Linked DNA regions of Oreochromis niloticus. The protein of the gene in region 2 interacts with the protein of the main gene of each other region in a pairwise test. Links are inferred from orthologs where the notes say so. Each region holds a gene or a part of one and is shown on either strand. Other genes may lie near its edges.

The links.
Region 1: the proteins of ciao1 (region 2) and ciao2b interact in binary tests that used the Homo sapiens proteins (3 or more experiments, as listed by UniProt). The two-hybrid records come from large-scale screens. The link is inferred for Oreochromis niloticus from reciprocal best matches to the Homo sapiens genes CIAO1 and CIAO2B.

What each region holds. Positions count from the first base shown.
Region 1 is NC_031978.2:7,117,063-7,124,741, forward strand, and holds the start of ciao2b (cytosolic iron-sulfur assembly component 2B), read right to left. Parts: upstream 3,021-7,679; 5' UTR 2,785-3,020; coding exon 2,658-2,784; intron 1,621-2,657; coding exon 1,541-1,620; intron 1,266-1,540; coding exon 1,140-1,265; intron 997-1,139; coding exon 951-996; intron 845-950; coding exon 744-844; 3' UTR 1-743.
Region 2 is NC_031977.2:12,291,504-12,299,381, reverse strand, and holds the start of ciao1 (putative cytosolic iron-sulfur protein assembly protein ciao1), read left to right. Parts: upstream 1-4,864; 5' UTR 4,865-5,145; coding exon 5,146-5,284; intron 5,285-5,396; coding exon 5,397-5,545; intron 5,546-5,637; coding exon 5,638-5,749; intron 5,750-5,837; coding exon 5,838-5,926; intron 5,927-6,016; coding exon 6,017-6,218; intron 6,219-6,320; coding exon 6,321-6,387; intron 6,388-7,617; coding exon 7,618-7,852; 3' UTR 7,853-7,878. Other genes in the region: gatd3l (ES1 protein, mitochondrial), read right to left, coding at 1-80, 171-284, 369-421, 507-623; tmem127 (transmembrane protein 127), read right to left, coding at 3,065-3,375, 3,469-3,633, 3,732-3,966. UniProt on the Homo sapiens protein: Key component of the cytosolic iron-sulfur protein assembly (CIA) complex, a multiprotein complex that mediates the incorporation of iron-sulfur cluster into extramitochondrial Fe/S proteins.

The DNA.
Region 1 (7,679 bases), on a different chromosome or scaffold from region 2:
TTGAGATGCTTTTCAGCATAGTTTGGTTTTATAAGGAGTAGTCATTTGAGCCATTGTGGCCTTCAAGTCTGGCCATTTTCTTCAACAAGGTATTTTCACCCAAAAACCTGCCTCTCACTGGATATTTTCTCTTTTTATTTAGACCATTCTCTGTAAACCCCACAAGTGGATGGAGAGTGGGGAAACCCCACTAGATAAGCATTTTATAACATGCTCAGGCCAGCCAGTCTAGCACCAACACCTTTGCCACATTCAAAATCACTTAAATTACACTGAAACTTCAGCGGATGACCTTTCTCATGTATATATGTTGAAATGCATTTAGTTCTTCACATATGAGTGGCTGATTAATAATTAAATGAATGAGCAGTTGAACAGATACACCCGACAAAGTGGCCAGTGAGTGTATATGACAAATGTAACAGGTAGAGTTTCTCTGCATTTTCACACTGTTAAAATTTCCAGGTGGAAGAATAATTTCTTTGTCCAAACGAGACTGTGTTATGAGCTTACACTCAGATTATATTATTCTTTGGGAATTTAAGAATTGGCTTTCTCTGTACTCTTATTCAGTAAATGTTGCCAATGTACAGAACCTGTATGATCCTGATCACGCTACTCATACCAGGGGTAGGGGTGTGCAGATAGTTGGTAGATACAAAGCAAGTTTTCAAAGAAACCAAACATGTCCTCCTGCAAAAATCTGAGTCTAAAAGCTGACAAGGCTAAAGTTGGCTGGCTGTTCAGATGCTCCTGGTGGACAGACACTGGTTGACCACCTCCAGTAGAGATGCATTCTCCAGAGCTGCTGCCACTCTCTCTTTGTCTGCCAGCTGTTTGTTCACTGTACACAAAATGACATAAACAGTATGATAAAAAATGCATTAGATTATACTGGTAAAAATGGTCTAAAATTCCATCTCGCCTCCTTTCTCTCTATGGAGTTTTACCTGCTTCCTCTGAAGCATGAGTCCCAGGAGTGATACAAACATCAATCTGAGAGGAAATAGAAAAAAATATACTGTAATGTAGGCCACAACTGAAAATAACAAAAGATTAAAGCACAGAAAAATTTGACACTGTAAAATATGCTTAAGGTTAAATGTGCATGTCATGTGAAAAAACATGCATAAACATACTTTGAACCTGTCTGGCAGGGAGCGCAGAAGTTTGACTTTGATTGACAGACCAATGAGTGTTGCCATGCTGCAGTGAGGGATGGTAGGTGTGAACTCAACACCCACAGTATTCTCTGCATCATTAACCTGAGGGAGCATACACAAATAATAAACATCATTCATCAATTTATCTTCCTAACAGCATACTGCATTCATTTTTAACAATGAAATTCACTGTAAATACTTTTGAATGAAATGCTTGTTGTTGGATTCAACTGTCTTCAACCATTTTCTTTACTAAAGTATCTGCAAGTGTGTTGCAGAGCATCTTTTTATTTCCTTATTCACACTATTACAAACATAGGAAAAATGTATAAAATAGGAAGCAAAAAAAAAAAAACCAAAAAAAAAAAACCACACACCTTAACTCGAACTTGCTCCACAACATTGAGCTCTTCCAGTGACAGTGGATGCTCTGGGTCATTGATAGATCTGATCAGATGTAACTTTAGTTAAAGAATTCAAGACGGTATAATACAAATAATAAATATTTCTTTTTCTGCACTACTGTAATCACTGTACTAATGATATTAAAGTAAAGATCCAACAATATTAGAGAGAAACGCCAAGAATGATATCGCCTGTGAAGCAAGTGTTTGGTAAAAGTGGAACAGAAGAGCTCCCTTGTAACAGGGAGAGACCTCCAGCAGAATCAGGCTCATCAAAGTACTACCATTGGCCATAACCAGTTGGGAGGAGGGGAAAGAAAGGACAAGAAGAGAAAACAAATGTTAATAAGATGCATCACTGGCATGTAAACACATTAGGGGTGAAAATAAGTTGTATAATGCCCAGAAGCTTCATCAAAAACTTAAGTCTGAAGTCTGATCATAAGTAGTAATGGTGTGTGTCTCCTGAACCCAAACTGGTAGCTAATGGCTTAAAACTCATTGTACAAAAGATTGAAGCATAGTCTATGAACCACAAGTGAACCTGTTTAAAGAGGTGCGATTTTGTAATAAAATAAACTGTCTGATCCTTTGACTTTAAGCTGTTTGCATAGCCACTGTACATAGGTCCAAGAAATCATTCAACTAATACTAACATCAGCTTAACAATAACTCAATTACAAACTGTCAAATTGTTCAAATTATATAATAAAATATATTTACAAAAATGAGACAATCCCTGAGAATACGAATTGCGTAACCCAAACCATTAACGGTATTTATAAGTTTAATCTACCATGGTCAACTAACCTATTAAAACACAGTTGACTTCAAAATGTTTAGTTAAGTTTTCAATACTAAGAAACTGACTATTATTACCTGTCGGCAAACCCAGATACAATCGGGCTACTTCTTAAACTGCTGTTAACTCCCTCGATTTCACCTCATTATCTAGCTGAATGGCACTGGTATTAGCGTTTAAGTCAGGCAAATAATATAATACATAAACATCATTAGAAAAAAGGATAAAGGGCATATCTCTAAGGTGTAAATCCACTCTAAACCACAGTAAAACATTTAAACAGGATATCGAATATTTCTCTGTCGTCGATGGGGTCGTGGACGTCTTCATCCTCTTCGGATGCCGTCTGTACTCTCTCCCCCGACCGCTGAAAAATCACAGGGTTTGCATTCTCCAAGCGGGTCCCCTCGGACATGTTCAGCGCTTATTTTAGTCCACGTTAAACAGTAAAAACCTCGTATTTTGTCAGAGCTTGCCGCTGCAAACGAGCTGTACAACTAGCGCCCTCATGAAGTACTTCCTGGAATAACGGAAAGCCGCAGAGTCCAAAACATAAACGTTCTACAGTCTTAAAGGAACAGTACCCGCAAATTCTTTCCTGCTAAATACGCATTCTTTCAGTAAGATACGTATTCAGTTAACTGAGTGCCTTTTCGGACGTGAGACGGAGTAAGCTATACAGATGTTTGTTTGTTTTAAAAAAAAAATGCCATTTAAATTTCCTTTCATAGTCTTTGCTTATTCTCTTGTTATGTTCAAATTTTCCCAGGCTTCCCATTTTGAAGGCTTTGACTGTACATATAATTTTTTTTACTGGCATTTGTCTCCCTGGTTGTCCGGCAGATGGCAGATACCGCCCATTTTAGCACTTGACACCAACAACCTTACGCACAAAATACGCTTTAATAGAAGTGTTGTTGCAATAACAATATACTGACCACAATAATCTTAATTTCACATGACTTTTTACATGTAACGTTATTACGTTATTTTTTTTAAAATTTATTTTAGTTTGTGTGTTGTTGTTTTTTTAAACAAAAACATATTTCTTTTTCTCACAGTTCTTTTATTTTGTGCACACCTGAATCAGATCTAATTTGCATGTTCTTTCAAACACATTTGACCTATTATCGGGAAGAAGAGAGATTCTGCTTTTTCATCTATGCAGAGTAAAAAGTGTATCCTGATAAATTTATGACAAGCCACCAGTGGTAATTTAGATTGGTGGGCTAGCTATGAGTCCTCACTTTAGTTTCCTAGAATTTCCTCTCTGTTAGCAAAGCTCGAGCATGATAATGAGATTATGTATCTGTATTCAAAGCTAAACTGGTATCTACAACTCAATTAAACACAGTAATTTCACCATTTTGATGTTAAGCCCCTACAAACTCATTGCAATGATTATCTTTGAAAAAATTAAAACAAACTGGTTATGGAAGCACTTTATTTATAAAATTAAATTATTATATGGTTTTCATTTCTGTACTACACAACTGCCATCACCATCAACTACTTCTATCAAGTCAGAATCTTAATGAACTGCTGCAGTCACTGGAAATGTGGAGCGTGGTTGATGTGAAGTTTTACTTCAGCCTGATATGTTCACCTTTTGAAAAAAATGTGCATATAATGAGACTGCACACGGCCGCTGACACATGTTTTAATAAAAATGTCATGGATAAGGGCAGCGACAGTTGAAAAGGGCGAAAATATTTTCCTAACTGTGACAATATGGACTAACAACCTTTAGATTCACAATTCTGGTTTCAGGTGGTAAAATGCTATTTATAAATAGTTGTTTCTGTGAAATTAGATATGACCAGCAGTGAACATTTTTTCTAAGCCCAATTTATGCAAGAATTACATTATCAGCACAGATGACTCCAAAACCTCAGTGTCTTGCAACTACATGAAAAAGACTGAAAATTTTCATTATAAAAGGCAAAATCTTAATGAGCTACTAAATTAAAATCATATCAACATTACCAGTCTTAAATATCTCACAAGTTTAATGTCTAATCAGAACACCTGATTAGAAAACCTTGAGCATTTGGGGATGAAAAGTTTAGAAGCATGTAGATAAATGAGGCACAAACAGGAAAGTTTTATGTCTCGCATTAATGCAGTGCACTATCAGAATGAGAAGTAAGAGTTTGCTGCTGCATAATGTAGAGAGTCCAGAGAGGTGAGTTTTTCATGGTCTGACATTGTGAATGTGAAGGAAATAATATCCCGTTCTGAAGTCAAAACATTTGTGAAAAATGAACACTGTTTGTCAGACATGGGTTTCTTAAGCTTCTGAATTTAAAGAAGTCTTTTTTAAAATTCTCAACAGTACTGATAATAAAATGGAGCTACCTGTGGAGAGCAGCTTGCTGCTGCCATGCACTGTGTGCATTATGTGATTATTCCTCATTTGGTCTTTGTGTTCAGAGCATGGTGGGATTCCATATTTATAGAGAACCACTGGTGGTGTTGAGCCTGGAGCAGCACACCTGATGTGCATAATGAGACAACAAAGCTGCAGACAACCAGTTCACAGCTTGCCATAAAAATAGCAGCAAATGTTAGCAATATGCAGACATATGGGTAGATTATTTTCCTTAATGTCACAATGTATTCCCAAAAAATGGATTATGAGGACTATAGAGCAATTTTTATTGCAAAGAGGTCTTTAGGTTTGACTGTATTTGTAGCTTTTTGAAATATGCAGTGCAAAAATTAGGTGCAGAGAAATGGAAAAGCATAGAAGGCTTGAACTTCCCTCTCAAGTCAACTTTTAAATTACGGTAACTCATTTTTTCTGAGGACTGCCCAAAACTATGCACTGAGATTCCTATTAGAGTGAGAAAGTGGGCATTATATGGACAAAAGTACTGAGCCAAAAATGACACCTACGGGGACTGCTTGGCTGTAGAAACCCATGCCATGAAGCCCCCTGTGCACAGTTTTTTGTGCTGATGTTAATGCTAGAGGAAGTTTGGAACATTATTATTGACTATGGAAATCACTACTAAGTGACCCTGTTCTGTAACTTTACTGAAACTCATAGTTTCAGTCTTGAGACCATTTGTCTAATACAACATAGCTCATGGCATTAAAATAAAGACTAAAGACAATGTAAATGTGATTTATCCACTTGATGGACAGCAGTCACACCAGAACGCAGGTCAGTGCTTGACATTAGGAGTGTAAATTTCACTCTTGCTATGTGATGTAAGAACAGTAGCAAGAAGCAGACAGTCACTAAAGGACCCTGCATGTTAGTGTGATGGTAGTCCATAGGTGCCAGGCAGAGCTTTGTAGACCCATGTCTGTGTATAATAGCTGTCTACTGTCACCTCAGGCCAGGCAAAAATAGGTTGAATAACCAGTAATGTCGACTGCTATTTTTCATGATTCGGCTACTTGTTAGTTCTGTAGCTTTGCCCCTGCAGCTGAGGAGAAAGAAATCATAACATGCAAAGAACTTTTGTAGTGAAGGGAAACTGATTATCAAACACGAAAGGAAACTGTCCAGTGCAGCTACTCTCTGTGCTTCTCCTGTTTTTTTTTTTTCTTGATCTTTGATGTTTTTCACACTTCTCCCTGTTAATGGTGAGCTTTGCTCTTGCTCTCTTTTCTGTTCGAGTCAACTTTGCAACAAGTCATTATTTGACCTGTGGAGGGCATTGCACTGATGGCCTTTTGGAGGTTGAATCCCTCATATCCCTCTCTCTGCATATCCAGGCAGCTACGCAAATGGTCACCAGTGTGGGAATACAAATCCTGGAAAATTTTGAGAGATTTTATCATTTTATTTATTCATTTTTGTAACAGAAATAAAAGCAAAATAAAACAAATATACTTCCAGGAGAACAAGTCTTGTCTTGCATGCAGTCACCTTTACTTGCAAATTATTAGGATCATGGTTTAAGTTTATAAAGTAAAAGACATCAGTGAAACTGTATCATTTAAATGCTTTAAAAATCTCTGCCACATCAGCATAAAAGCTAATTTTTTCTTACCGGGTTAGTGATTTCCACCTGTACATTTTAGGTTTAACTTGACACACTGCTGCCATATTTGTGAACCTTCATTTAAAAAAAAGTTGACCAATATTGTGTAAATTCTGATCATTCAAGTTGTAATTAAGCCCAGAAAGCCATGACCTTTTGTACTATGGGTTTTGGCCACTGGAGCACATAAAATATATTATACATATTGAGGCAAACTTTGCAGTCTCACAGAGAGTTTCTGTGTCTTGTCAGAAAATGAGATGCCTTTCATCATTTATGAAATACTGAATTAAATATACAAGGTCAAAGGTAAACTTTTGGAGGAGAAATACAAACTATAGAAACTAGACTTTTTTTTCTCTTTACAAAAGCTACAAACAGAGTGAACAATGAAGTTTGAACATAGGCTTTTATATTATGTGTTCACTCATGCTAAACCTATGTTTTGTTATTCACTGAATTAAACATGAAATTGCAAAATGAAGATCTTTTAGTTTTAAATTATTTATCTAACTCATGGTTTATAACCATACTGTGAGATGAGAATGGATGAGAGATCATGCTTCTTTTTAAGTTTCAGGTCGCATTTTCCTCTTAAAGAGGAAAGTATCACATTATTACAGTTCTGACAAATTATTGTTCAGTCTTTTAGAATGATGTATTGTTCCAGTTGAAAAGTTAATAACTATGTGTTTTATAATTGCAGCCTTTTAGAAATGTTCACATTTTCCTTTTCAGGAGTTTGCTCATTGTTTCACATTAATGTGCATATTCAGAGTGACTGCAACAGTCACAAAGTGACAGCAGAAGATGACTTACTTTGGAAAGCAATTTCGAAGAGTCAGGAAGAATTTCTTTTCTGCTTTTACCTCGCCCTCGGGGGAATTAGGTGAAGGAACCAGCCAAAGAGACTATCATTTGAACAACTATTTATAAAAAGCATGTGGCAGAACATTTATTGAAGGTGTAAATTAAACTAGCTCACAATTTTTAACAGCGGCTTCAGCGTTTTGTGTGTCTCATTTAATATCATCCAGCGACAAAACAGCACCGCATACAGTAAATGTCTTTCATGGGCTGTTTAAGCTGATGTAAGCTCAGCTCTTTAAGCGCAGGTTTGGTGGGACTCTATAGTATGATATGGCTCCTCCTTTGGATCAGTTACTTAATAATTTCGTCATTTTTTTTGCAGGAGGGGAGCAGCACAGGTTTCAGGGACACATGGAGTCTTACAGAGGAAGTGAGAGAGGTGTAAAAACATAGGAAGATGAAACAGGTTTATACTTTGGCAGGCTCACTTGTCATCTCTTAT
Region 2 (7,878 bases):
TGACGTCCAGCTTGGACAGGTCCTGCATTTGCGTCATTCCCTGTCCGTGACTGAAGCGGGCTGCCTCCATCATCATATTCCTGTGGGGATGGACAGAATTCATCACAAAGTGCACCCACGTAACCATAGACAAAGTCAAAACGCCCACTGCACCCATCTTCGAGGCCTACCGGTTCTCTCCAGAGGCAGGTTGCTTTCTCATGTGGTCAATCACGTGCATCTGCTGTTGATTTGGAGCAAACATCTGGAAGCGGGCGCCGTTACGGCTCAGGTGGTACATGGTGCTGAAGACGAGAGGGGTGCATTACCATCTGCCCGTGTTAATTCAGTCATGTGCATTTCCTGACCTCAGCAGGAGTGATACTCACTAAACCCCTTCATGGACATCAGTGCCGTCCCACCATCCGCATCCTGAGAAAACCTGAAACACATGGAGTCACCAAATCACAACTACACCCACACCCGTTGATCTGCTCCTTTCTCCCAGACTGATCTGCATCACTTACCACTGCAACGTTAGTATTTCCCCAGTTGCCGTAGTCACCCTGGTGCACAAAGCAGGCAGGCTGGCGAGAAAGAACAGCCAGCGTTTGTTTTGACAGCAAAGCCCTGGTTGCCAGCATGATTTAGCTTCAATCTCACTGTTGTAGAAGAAAATTTTAAAAAATAAAAGACTTCACAGTTTTACCACAGAGCCACGTAGAGACTTTTAATGGTCGTGGTGTTGATGTCAACGAGGTTGTCCGTATATATACCTGCAGAGTGGGGCTAAGTGACGTTACCACGTAAGCTCTGTCTTCTGAGAAGAGCCGTCTCTTGTTCGCCTTGACTGACTTACTCTCCTCCTCATGAACACTCTTTCCTATTAATACCTTGTTTATTTATCTGATTAAGTCATTTGGCCACAGAGTGACACTTCAGCTTTGAAGAGCAATGTAAACATGTAGTGCTTCAACCCAAACAGTATCTTGACCTTTTAATAGTTTAACTCTTGGCAACAGATGCAGACAAGCGAACTTGAAGAACAGCTAACATATACTTTTGCAAAACAGTCACAGTGTCTTTTATATAAGGCAACAATCGATGTGATGCCTGAGTGAGCCTTTTTTCCCCGCTTTCTATAGTTACTCCTTTGTCCCAATTCAATTACAGGGATTGTTTAAATCTTGTGCGTTTAGCTAGTTCAAAGTAATCTAAGGTAATCTGATTTATGAAGTGTGGCAGAACTTGACAGTCTGTAATTTAGCCTCATGATATATGTTATTCTACGCTAGCTCATTATTTAAAGTCTGTATATTGACCACATTATGCATCCGGGAAAAGCCTTGCAGTCTTTGCCAGTAAGACTCTTTTTTTTTTTTTAGCAGCAAAAAGGTCCTGGGTTCAAGTCCCCCAGTCAGATGGGGCTTTTTCTATGGGGTTTCTCTGTTCTTGGTAGGGTGAGAGGTGATTCAGAATTGCTCATTTGTGTGAATGTGACTGTGATTGGCTTTCTGCCTCTCTGTGCTAGCCCTACAACAGACTTGCGACCTGTCTTGGACGTACCCAGTCTCTCTCTCTCCTAGGCTCCAGCCTCACTGCGACCCTCAAATGGATAAGAAAACGGATGGATCGAGCATTTAAACTGCTTCATACTTCTGAACTCTTCACAGTAAAAGGCGTACCATACGCCCACTAAAGTCCATTAGACCTTAAGACTCTTACTCTCTTTAATGCCATGTTGTGTCTACAGTCTCTAGACTACGAGACCAGAAATACCCCAGGCAGACGTAAATGTTAAAGTCACAACACTGTTAGATCAACGCAGATCCTTCGGGCTGCATTTGCTGAAATCACAATAAATCAATGTTAATTCACAGATGACGAGCGAGAGGCAAAAGTATGAGGTTTCCTTTATTATGATCACTTCTTTTTTAAATGTATAAATGATCATTATTTACAAATTGAGGAGGGAAGGGGGGTTATAGTGACAGTTTGAGGGACAAATGCAGAAAATTATGGAATCAACAGAACAATACACAATCAACTAGAATCACAACATCAGTCACAAGTCCAAGCCTCTGCCTGTGTGAGATGTTCTCGTTTAGATGGTGACTCAAAGTTTAAAGTCTTCACACAAATGAACTCATGCACTGGAAATGCATACTGAAACGGTCACATGTGGGAATCACAAAGTGCAAGTAATTTTTTTTTTTTCAAAAGCAAACACGAGAAATATAATGAACAACTTCTGATGCGGTGAGGTGTTTTTTAAACTAAATGTCACCCTTACTGTGAAATAATACAAACATGTTTCTCACTTTCTCTCGATTGCTACACACACACACACACTTTCTCACACATGCGCGCGCGGACACACACACACACCATGATTCGTTTTAAAACACCAAAGACCTGGCTCACAATTTCTGACAGTTTTCTTATTTCAAGTACAGAAGTGAACAAAGATTTAACTAGTGAAAAGATGAACAAAGCAAAAACTACAAAAAGACAGCACAGACAATAAATAAGGTCCAATCTGATATCTTATATAAAATAAAGATGTTTAAAGAATCTTGTCAGTGTATTTCTGCATCTGTAAGGTGTCGGTAAAATAAAATTCACACAAATGGCAAGCACGTCAAACTAAAACCATAAAGCAAACAAAGCTCCACTCACGTCCGATCGAGAGCAAAACAACCGCCGATAGCGCTCATTCAACTAAATCCTACTAAAACGATCCAGCTCTGGTTGTTCCATCAATTAATTGTCATGAGCCGTGTTGAGCACTTCCAGCAAGTTTAGTTTTCTTTACATGTAAGGACCAAATCCCTAAAAGCCATTTACATGCAATTCACTAACAACTCCAGTGGTGAAAGTAAGAATTAGCTTCTAAATTTCTGTCACCACTAAAGAAAGCTTTCATGCACCCAAGCACCGTCATTCAAGGAACCTGCGCACTGACACGCTGTGTTCACTGAGTATTTTTGCAAAGATATCCATTTGATAAAGAGCTGGGCTTTGCCCATCAAGCTAAGTAGCTGTGCTGAGAGAGAAAGGTGTTACAAAGGCGAGTCTGGTGGCATTAGGGTGTGTATGCGGGTGGCGGTTGAAATTGATTGGCAATGTCATAATCGGCAGGAAATGTTTCACTGCTGTCCTCCATCTCCGAGAGCAGCTCTAAAGCCTGCTCTTCCTCCTCAGTTGGGTAGTGACGAAGAAGATTTGCAGCTGTGGCGAGGATGGATGCTCCACCCGCGCCCGCCACCAGGTAGAAGCTGATAGCAAAAGTGACGTATATGAGAGAGCCGTGGTACTTTTTGTGCTGCTGCTGTAGGGACAAGATCAGCTCTGAGGCCCAGTAGCAAAAACCTATGACTGTGGCACACTGCAGCACTGGTGGGAGACAGAAAGAGACAGTTACAGATCATTGAATTTACACATTGTCTGTCTTTTTCTAGACAGCAAGAGGGGAAAAAAGATTATTACCTGTGAGAATATGTGCAAATGCATATCTGCGGGTTATTTTCAGGGCAGGGTGCTTGGGACCAAACACATCCAAGAGAAAAGCAGTCAGACTACAGAGGATTCCCAGGAAACAAAAGGCAGCGATTACTCTCAGCAGCAAGATGGTCTGCGGGTTCACGCAGTAATCTGATGGGAACAGACGGACACATCACAGAGCATTACACGTGAGATCTGGGATTAATTGCTGCTGTGGGTTTTTAACGGAGCTTGTGTGTGGGCCTCACCATCCAGAAGCTTGGGGTCAATGTATCCCAGGACATCTGACACCCCCAGCTCTTGTCTCGGACAGGTTCCTCCGTGGACGCGGAGCCAAGCCGGCTCAGCCAGAGCTGTACACAGCGCTGTGATGGACAGAGCTCCGGGAAGAGCCGACACAAGGCTCCGCTCCGGCTGCTTGGGCAACGAGGTGCCTCTCCTCCTTCGGCCTCCAGGGACAGTAGAACCCGGCGGGGCATACATCCTAATCCGATTTCCTCGTCCTCTGTTGTATAGTGTTGCTTTCCCTTTATTGTCAGTGTACCTGACAGCACTGCGGTAGTAACGAGCAAGTCAGCCAAAAAACCGACAGCCGGTAAAGCTAATTCTGGACTGATGACAGCGACCCGGCTCCTTTGTTCACTCTGGTTTCAAATGTTTCCAAATTAAAACAGACCATAAAACTAGCTGTTTAATCAAAAGCAATTCAGGTGTCTGACTGACGGCAACACAATGGACAGATGGTTCAGGCCTGCTAGCTCTGTTGTTAGCCTGAAAAGCTAACTTCTCGTAAACGCAAAATGTCGTCAAGTTTTTCTTTTTTTTACAAAAAATAACTATAACAGCGACCGACACGACAGTCATACGTCTATAAAGTAATCTAGCTAACAATACTAATAAAAATAACGATAGATTTGGTACACAAAAAACAAAGACAAAACAAAAGGAAGCGTCCGCTGGCTTCCTCGAAAACACTTGACTTCCTTGTTCATACCATTCTTCTTCTTCGCGGACTCGATAGCTGTAAAAGTCAGTACTCCCACCTACTGGCGACTCCTCCTATGGCAGAAAGTCATCATACAATAACATAAAATTCTCTTCTTTATTTTATTAAACTCACTCATTGTACATTAACAAAATAAAGGTGCTCGCGTGAATACTTCATAGGAAATCATAAAAAGAGATGACCAAAAATTTATAGCACAATTAAAAGAAACAAGACTGACCAAAGTGCTTTACAAGTTAGTTAAGAACAAACAAGATAAAACCTTAGATCAATAAAATACAATAAAACACGACATAAAATAAAACACCGTAAATTTCACGGAATTGTTTTTTACGTGAAATTTCCCGAGGGGAAAAAAAAAGACCACGAAACTGCAACCCACAATGCAGCGCGGGGACTAGATAAGTAAAGATGGCGGCATTTTGCTCACCGGTGATGTTGTGAACTTCTGCACTTTGTTGTTTGGTGCTAGTTACAGACTGTGTTCAGCGCAGATACGGCCATTTTTGTATCCGTGCCCTGGTTGTTGACTGTGGTTTAGGGCTGTAGTGCTGCTGCTGCTCTCTGTCTGCTTTTGGTGCTTCGGGCCATTTCCTGTCTCGTTTCTCGGCTAACTGTCAGTGACAGCGACTCGGAAGTATTTTCCCAGCTCGACCATGAAGGAGGCTCTGTCCCTGGTTCAGAGGTTGAGCGCACACCCGGACTCCCGCTGCTGGTTCGTCAGCTGGAGCCCCAACGGGACGCTGCTGGCCTCATGTGGGGGCGACAAGACCATCCGGATATGGGGGAAAGAAGGTGAGCTCTCCATGAACTGAACCGCAGACACCCCCAGCCTCAGTCGCATAACAAAGCATTATAGTACAGTAGTTGACATCCTTCACCCCTTTACCTTGCTCTCGTTTTTCAGGTGACTCCTGGATATGTAAGAACGTGCTGCAGGATGGACACCAGCGCACCGTGAGGAAAGTGGCTTGGTCTCCCTGTGGGAATTATCTGGCCTCTGCAAGCTTTGATGCTACCACTTGCATCTGGAAAAAAAAGAACGATGACTTTGAGGTCAGATGACAGGTCTCCTGTTCATTGTGTTAAATGGCATGCCTTAGAAATGCTGCATCTTTGCAGATTGTTACCCACACTTTGTCTCCTAGAGTTTGACTGTGCTGGAAGGACACGAAAACGAGGTCAAGTGTGTGGCGTGGGCCCCTTCAGGGAATCTTCTAGCCACATGTAGCCGAGACAAGAGCGTCTGGGTTTGGGAAGGTTTGTATTAAAGAGCGCCTAAATTGCACTAACTGATCTGCGCCACTGTCTGTTTATATACTTGACCTTGTCTCTTTCTGCTCTGCAGTGGATGAAGAAGACGAGTATGAATGTGTTACAGTTGTGAACTCTCACACGCAAGACGTCAAGCACGTTGTCTGGCACCCGACCCAGGAGGTAGGTCTCATTTGGATCTGTCCACATGATTGTTTTTTCATCTCCAGTTGCAACACCACGTGACCCTGCACTCACCATGTGTTTGTACAGCTCCTGGCCTCAGCCAGCTATGACAACAACATTTGTCTTTACAAAGAAGAGGATGATGACTGGGAGTGCCGGGCCACCTTACAGGGACACACGTCCACAGTGTGGAGTTTGTGTTTTGATGCGGCTGGTCAGAGGCTGGCCTCCTGCAGCGATGACCGCACTGTGAAGATCTGGAGAGAGTATCCAGCTGAAAGTGGACCGGGTGAGTCAGCAATGGTTAGGACTAATTAGTTTTATCATAAATCAATGCTGTAATAAAAATATTGACAATATGTATTTTTTTTTTTCTGCTTTTCTGTTTAAGATCTGTCATGGAAGTGTGTTTGCACTCTGTCTGGGTACCATGGACGAACGGTGTATGATGTTTCCTGGTAAGACTATTTTTGTAATGTACTCTGCCATTCTTGTAAAATGCTTCAGTCAATCATTAAAGGTGCAATTAGTCATTGTTTGAAGTCATTTAATAGAAAAAAAGACCATTGTGCACATAAACATACATCTATTAGTGTGTAATTACATCTTATGCATTCTCATAAACTTAGATTTAATCCATTAAAAATACATAAGTGTGGAAGCCACCACGTTGCCTCGCCATCTTGAATGGAGTAACCGAGATGAGGATTGCAGTTCAGCCTAATCATGTTTTATGTATGTAGGAAGAGACTTGCCAGATATATAGTATGCTAAAGGACGGGGGATTCATGTGGTGTGGAGGCAATTTGTGTTTTCACCTTCAGACTAAAGATATGAAAGATTATTCATATGTTTTACCATCTGAGAAGGGTTCACCAAGGAAGTGAAAACATAAAGGAAAGAAACAGCGTGACCCGTAACTGAATAAAAATGTCATCCTCTTCCTCACCTCAGGGCTCTAACACACAAAAACATGCATGAAAATGCTAATTTATTCCTGATATTGTTGCAGTTACTTATTGTCGGCAGATTAGACATGCGATCCTCTAATACCAGCTAATGTTAGGCTCGAGGGTCCTAAAAGTGACACTTTCCCGCTGTTACAGTGTTTCATTAGATTCTCAAAGTTTATTGGCAAAAAAAAGATTCACAAATGCCGACCCCAGCAGATCGCTCAACAACTCACCTCAGTATCACCGTAATAGGATAAAAAATGAGCTTCAGTGACCTGTATTGGACCCCTGTAAGTTTTGCAGCCTCCTCCAAAGTAAATAGACCTGCACGTCTCACCTGACATATCAGCAGCTTACACTAGCTACAGATTAATGGCAGTTTTTGAGGTGAAAACTGTAACTAGGATTATTAGAAAAAAGAATTCAGCTGAATTTGTTCTTAGATTTACTGACATCTAGTCGTTTTTACACACTGCACCTCTAAGATCGTCTAGCGATAGCAGTGGTTAAGCGTTCCACAACTTGTAATTTCTCTGTAACAATGCAGTAGATAAGATAACCTTTATTAGTCCCACACGTGGGAAATTTGTGAGGAATATGTGGTGCTCTATGCAGAGAATTATGTGAGAACATAAAGTGGAGGTTAACTGACCACCAGAAATCCCAAAGATGTGGTCTCCACGTGCATGAATTTGTCATTGTTAGACGTCACAGTGAACCTAAATCTTTCTTCAGGTGTCAGCTGACTGGCGCTTTGGCAACTGCCTGTGGTGATGACGCAGTGCGAGTTTTCAAGGAGGATGAGACAGCCAATCCCGACGAGCCAGTATTCTCGCTGGCTGCTCAAGTGGCCAGAGCTCACAACCAAGATGTTAACTGCGTGTCCTGGAACCCAAAGGAGGCGGGACTCCTGGCTTCGTGCAGCGATAACGGAGAAATCGCCATTTGGAGGTTCCAAGAAGAGGAATGAACATCACTGGAGTGCATAGTTACGAG